Linked DNA regions of Drosophila melanogaster. The protein of the gene in region 2 binds, or shares a complex with, the protein of the main gene of each other region. Each region holds a gene or a part of one and is shown on either strand. Other genes may lie near its edges.

The links. Proteins that work in one complex are often made in the same cells at the same time.
Region 1: Spase25 (region 2) and Spase12 share a complex: the UniProt entries of both Drosophila melanogaster proteins name them as parts of the signal peptidase complex.

What each region holds. Positions count from the first base shown.
Region 1 is NT_033777.3:29,490,018-29,492,770, forward strand, and holds Spase12 (spase 12-subunit), read right to left. Parts: upstream 1,134-2,753; 5' UTR 1,022-1,133; coding exon 998-1,021; exon of another isoform or gene 940-997; coding exon 793-939; exon of another isoform or gene 737-792; coding exon 611-736; 3' UTR 527-610; downstream 1-526. Other genes in the region: CG2006 (uncharacterized protein), read left to right, coding at 1-511; CG2310 (uncharacterized protein), read right to left, coding at 1,731-2,092, 2,154-2,221, 2,379-2,704. UniProt on the Drosophila melanogaster protein: Component of the signal peptidase complex (SPC) which catalyzes the cleavage of N-terminal signal sequences from nascent proteins as they are translocated into the lumen of the endoplasmic reticulum.
Region 2 is NC_004354.4:11,483,370-11,487,132, reverse strand, and holds Spase25 (spase 25-subunit), read right to left. Parts: upstream 1,884-3,763; 5' UTR 1,741-1,883; coding exon 1,702-1,740; intron 1,573-1,701; coding exon 1,012-1,572; 3' UTR 567-1,011; downstream 1-566. Other genes in the region: CG33235 (uncharacterized protein), read left to right, coding at 1-364; Uba5 (Ubiquitin-like activating enzyme 5), read right to left, coding at 2,154-3,087, 3,199-3,479. UniProt on the Drosophila melanogaster protein: Component of the signal peptidase complex (SPC) which catalyzes the cleavage of N-terminal signal sequences from nascent proteins as they are translocated into the lumen of the endoplasmic reticulum.

The DNA.
Region 1 (2,753 bases), on a different chromosome or scaffold from region 2:
CGAGGTGGAGGTAAAGGAGCTGCAGGAGGAGGTAGATGAGCCGGAGACGGTGCGACGAACCTGGACGCTAGACAACCTGCCCGTCCGCCGAGCCGTCTTCATAGACAGCACATGGAACCAGAGTCGCGGGATCTACGCGGACGCCAGGGTGCGCGGCCTACGAACGGTGGTGCTGCAGAATCGACTGTCGCAATTCTGGCGCCACCAGCGCGGCAGTCCGCGCTGGTATCTGGCCACCATCGAGGCCATTCACCAGTTCCTCCTGGAGGTGCACATCAATGCCTGGGGCCTGAACACCGCCTATCGCGGACTCGATAACCTGGAGATCACCGCGGGCTTCCATCAGCTGGCAGAGCCGCTGACCAAGACAGCTGCCAGTGAGAATGTGGGCAGGGAGGCGCCCTACAATGGGCAGTACGACAATCTGCTCTTCTTCTTCGCCCACATGTACGATCTCATCCACAAGTACTATGACCACAACGACCTCATCGCCTACCGACGACCCATCTAGCGTTCTAATGGACATACATATGTATATATATATATTATATTGGATGTAGTGAGAAGTACACGTAACTGCTGGCCTAACTAACTACTGATCCCACTGATTCTACTGCTTCTTCTTCTTCTTGCCCTCGTCGCCGGACTCGGAGCTCGACGACTTGGCGTCCGTATCGATGGGTTTCTGCCATTTGAGCGCATTGCGACGGTACAGCGGCCACGGTGGAATGGTGATCTGTGCAGGAATCTCGTGCTGTTAGCAATGGAGCTACTAACACGACAGCTACTCACCAGCGAGGAGAGCACAAATCCGGCGCCCAGGATGTACACGGTCTGTGAGAACTGCTGCACGAAGGCTCCGTAGACGAGGCCCACAATTCCGAAGAACGTGATGATGAAGCGCGACCAGCGCTCCGCCTTTCCCTGACCCGCGAAGTCCTGCGGCGGTAGAGTGCCGTGTTAGTGTTATGTGCTAATGGTTGCGAAGCATACCTACCATATGCGTCTGGATGTCCAACATTTTGTGCAATTCACAAGCTGCGATTCAACAATTTTCGGCGTAAACAATTTTCTTTTGCGGCACGTCAGCAGCCGAATGGTGTGACCGTGCCGAGCGAAAAATGCCAAGGGGATGAGAATATACTGGAATTTGGAACTCGGTGAATTTCCCATTATTTTTGTACATGCTTATTTCCCTCTTTTTCAAAATAAGTGTGTTTGAAAAATAGCGAAATTGTTTGTAGCTTTCAATTGTGTTTTATTATTTTAAATTTAAAATATGCAAACAAAACGGAGATTATTACTCTCTAAATGATGTTTTCCTTTGCAGAGTAAGCTCTTGAAACAAAATAAATAAGTTCAGTTCACCTTTTCTTATGCAAAATATGTAAAATAAGTTTATAGAAGGCAAAAATGTTGCATCTTTAAATGATTTATATAATTTTAAACCACGCCAATTAATGCAAACTAATAGCCCATTTAAAATACTTAACTTCATTTACATATATGTATGCATGCATATCTTTAATGCAATTATAGTCATTTTATTGAAAAGGCTTGCGATGTGAATAATCGCTCGTTGTTCATACATATGTATATTATTTGTACAATGCGTTCATAACGTGGACGTTCTGGCTTGTGTGTCACTATAACTAACTAAATAAGTTAAAAGGCGAACAGGTGGAATGTAAAGTGTAGAGGACCTCGCGCCTCCCGATTCATGGCAGGACTCAGACCCTGGCGGCCTTCGTGCGCCGCAGCTGGACGACATTGATCACGCAGACGAGCAGCCATGCGAGCAGTGCGATCCAGGCAAAGACCAGGGTGAAGTACAGGCAGGCGGCCGTATTGATGCGCCCGTAGCGTCGCCGCTCGTACGACACGCTCTCCACCAGATAGTCCATGAAGTCGAAGACGGCGGCGCACGAGAGCCGCGACTTGATCACGGGCACAATGTTGCCCACGCCCTGGATCTCCTTCAGCAGCGACTCCCTGTACTGCTTGCAAGTCACCTCGAAGCCATCCGTGAACACGGCCGAGTAGACCAGTTGGTAGACGGCCATTATTGTCGAGATGACGGTGGCGGGCAGCCCTAAATTAGTTAAGTATTACACATTTGTACATAGTTAAGTTCGGAGACGATGGACACTCACAGTAGTAGGGCGAGAGACCATCGGGCGTGAGTTCCGACTCGGTGGTCACCACGATCATGTCACCGGAGCTGCAAGCAGAGAGCAGAGAGGCGTAAGCAAACAGTTGATGCTGCTCCAAGTTGGAGCCCATGATGGCATTACTCATAGCCAGACAGACGAACGAGTGTGGCTGGCCGATTAACCCCATTGACCCGCCGACACTCGATCGCGATCGCCCGCTCTTACCGCTGACGGATGGTGGCCGTGCCCGCCTTGGGCTTGCCCCGACCGATGCACATGCGGTAGCCGTGGTAGACGCCCAGGACGACGGCGAAGAGCAGCGGCAGCAGCAGGCCGTAGGTGGCGAAGTGGCAGTAGGCGACGTTGCCGCCCTCGAAGCTGTGGAACGTGCTCTTGCCGTGCAGCACGCAGCCGCAATTGGTGTCCGGGCAGGCATTGAGCACGTACTGCCAGTGTGTCCAGGCCACCGCCGAGGTGATGCAGCAGACCAGCGATGAAACGATGGCCAGCGGGTAGAGTAGGGACAGGGCTCGCTCCGCGTAGTACGACATCGTGCGAATGGTATCTGCTCGCAGGAGTATCTGAAATAAGCGGACAAGT
Region 2 (3,763 bases):
AATTGATGAATGGCGAAAGACATCAAAGCAAGTCCTTGAGAAAAATAAGAAAGAGGAAAAGCTAAACTTGCAAAAGCCGAAGATGGCCAAGGGGAAAGTGCAAAAAAAGAAGTCGAAGGACCGGCAATGCGGGAAGACACTAAAGATTGCTAAGGGAAAATTGGAGGCTCTAAAGACGGCCAAGGATACAATGGCAGCAAAGGTGTTAGAAAAGCAGATGATTATGAAAAAGAAAATGGCCCAGAAGATGTCAGAAATTGAGGCTTTGGAAAGACATAAGAAATATGTAGAAATTAAAGAGAAGATGGTAATGGGAAATGGGAAAAGGAACCGTAGTGCCCCATACAGATATCTGAAAAAATAAAAAGATGATGATGACAAAGGAAGCCGGAGCGCCGCAGGAAGAAGGTCAAAAACACTCGGATTTCTGGGTACACTTGGATTGGGACATCTCCACATTGTGAATAAATATAATAACAAATAGAATAATCTTTTAAAAACACATGAGTTAGTCGTACATATAGACTTTACATTACGTACATTACTCTCTTGTAGCCAAAATCTTTAGTATGTCACAAATATGAGCTTTTGGAATATAAAAACATTGATATATATATATAAACGTTTTGACATCGACAACTCCCAATTTTGATGTTTAACTTCTGGGAAGGCAGCCAGGTTAAATATGGAATTAATATCAATGGCCTTATCAGCGCAATATGGGTTTCCCCATCGCCGCCAGTTCCAGTTTGGGCACCCTCTCCTCTTCCTCTGCCGCCACCGGAATCCCCGCCCTCTTAACTTTTAGATTTTTGCAGCTGAACCCATGAAATTATAATAAAATAGTCCACAAATCATTGGTTAAGTTTCTATCAGATTCAGACAATTTATGTTAAGCTGTAAATCAAAGAATTCATTTTATATTATAGTTTTTCCGCTTATTACAAAAGACAAACAGTCGGCTTACCACAAAAGTGTACAATTTAATGAGACAAAAGTGGGGAATTTGGTTTAATTAGAAGAAAGGCTGCTAGCGTTCTTCTTGTCGGCAGCTAAGGCGTTGAACAGACGGTTGACCTCGTTGGCCACCAGGTTGTCCAGGACGATGCCATTCTGATCGATGAAGGCGGCGCACGACTTGTTGCTGCTCTGCTCGCGCCGCTTGCCATTTTTCGTGTCGCGAACACTGAGGGTCAGCAGGTACTTGTCGTCGTACTTGCGCATATCGGAGCTGGCCTCCCACAGGCGCTCCCGCTCCTTGTCCTTCTGCAGGGCCACCGCAAAGGTGCCCTTCTCGCGGAAACTGGAGTGCAGGGTCAGAATGCCGAGGAGTGCAAAGTAGGCCAAAACACTGAAGAGGAGCACTGGACGGGATTCCGGGAAGGGGTGGGTGAAGTCCCAAGCATGGGCCATTATAGCCACGGAAACGGCGAGGGCGCAGAGGGCCAAACGGGTGTTGACCAGGCCGAATTGCTCCTTCAGCTGGGGACGATCGCCAAGGAGGCAGGTTTTCACTGCATCATCGAGGGCGTGCTTCACTGCGGATCCATCCCACTTGTTGACCTTCACCAGCTGGCAGGGCACATGAAACAGGATGGAGTTAGTTTATGCACATATTCACTTAGTTTACATTTACATTCTACAATGACGTGGAACACATCTTAATGGACCAAATGCCAAGCCGGCAACCGGTTTACTCACCTCCTCGCCTTGCTGTGACTTTTCATCCTTCTTGCCCATCTTCTATCTGCTCTCTATTGTGTTTTGATGCCCTTGATTTCCAAGAGAAGTTTGCGAAATGCTCAGAAAAACTCTTTTTTCTTTTTTCAGGAGTTTTCTTCGTTTTTGTGTGACAACGCGACAACAAAATTGTCAATCGTTATCGCTGCCAATCGATAACGGACTAGTTGACCGTGCTGCCAGATAGGGGAAGCTTAAAATACTGAAATACTAGAAACTGCAAGAATTGAAATTTCCCGCGTAATTCAAATAATTTTGAGCATAAAGCATTTAATCAAGTGACTAAAAGTTACTATATATAAATAAATAAAAAATGGCTCGGCCCAAGTTTTACACAAATCGAAGCTGAGTTTATCAAAAAAAAAGTGTGTGTTTTACAAAAAGTGTCTATAAATACGGAGTACGGAATCAATTTACATGGACTTCATTTGCGCCATCAGGTCTTCCAGACTGGTTTCGTCCGCGGTAGCTGCAGATACAGTTTCCTCTGACGTTTCGCTGGACTTCTCAGGAGCCTCGTAGGCGAGCCTCAGCCCTTCACCCATCACTGGGGTTTCGGCGGGCGTTGTATTACTTTCTGGCGCATCCTCGGCGACCAGTTCGATGCCCCATTCGTTGGTGGCATGCAGCGGCTCTTCGCTGACTGCCTTCTCTTCGATCAGCACAGGTTTGGGCCTGGCTTGGAACTCTTTTTGCCGAACTAAACAGTTTCTGTCATCGCACTGCGGATTCGGTTTGAGCGTCATCTTGGGAAAGAAGTCGCTAAGGGCATTGTAGCCCAGATAGTCAGAGACCTCGCCGAAATTCAGCAGATACTTTAATGCGTTCTGGACAAGGAAGCCAGCCGTAATGCCCATAGTTGTGGGCAATGAAGCGGCGCACACGCCCTCTCTCTTCAGCGTCTTCTCGTCGATGTTCTCGGCCACCACCAAGGGTGGTGCACAAGCGAAACAGGCGGTATCGCCAGGACGGATAAACTGAATGTGCCCCGAGACGGCATTTTCCGAAACTCCCGACTCAAACCAGTTGAGATTGCGTTCATTGCACGCTGCATTGATTGCCATTCGTGCCTCAAAATTGTCCACACAGCTGAGCACCAGATCCACCGGCTGGCCAGCTATCCGTCCGCCCTGCGATATTGTGTCCAGGAAGCGATCAAAGTTCTCCACCGTTGTAATATTGTAGTTGTGCGTCTCAATCTCCACGTCCGGATTGATAAAGCTCAGGGTAGCGGCGGCGGCCGCAACTTTGGAGAGGCCCGCCTGATCGGGCGTAAAGAACAGTCTGTTCATGTTGGCCAGCTCCACTTTGTCGTAGTCGAAGAGTATCAGTTTGCCAATGCCGCAGCTGCAGGAAATCAATTGATTAATACATAGCCTTTAATTAAAGACAACATATTTGGAGTGCTAGCTGTGGTGCACAATGACTGTTGCCCTTCTCTTCTTGTTGTGCACGCACCGTGTAAGCATGTCGGCGGTGACGCTTCCCACGCCGCCCACGCCCACAATGGCCACCGCCTTGTAGCGAATGCGCTCGTAGTCCTTGACGATGTTCATCCGCTGCAGGGCCATCAGGCGGCTGTACGGATTGGAGTCCACCACCTCGGCGGACATGCGATCGATGCGATCGCGTGCCAGGCGGCTGTTGCTAGCGACGCCGCCACTGGATTTCGGCTCCGTCTCCAGCTCCGTCTTCAGATCGGCGATGATCGCCTGCAGTTCGTCGATGGCGTGCGACATTCTGGCTTTGGGGTGGCTCCAGTTTCTGGCTCGTGTGTTTGGCTATGGACGCCAGCAATTGTTAATTGTTAACTTTCGCTTTTAAGCTGGTTGTCGCCGTGTCACTTTTGACCAGTGCTGCCAGATGGCCAAATTAGTTTGGTACTTGCGTTAGATGGGATGGGGCAACGCTGCATGTTAGTGATGGCCGAGGGTCGATAGTTATATACCAAAAATATACCAATTTACATTGCCAGCTGGTACAGTGTTGGTTAATGCTACGAATGGCGCGCATATTTGAATTT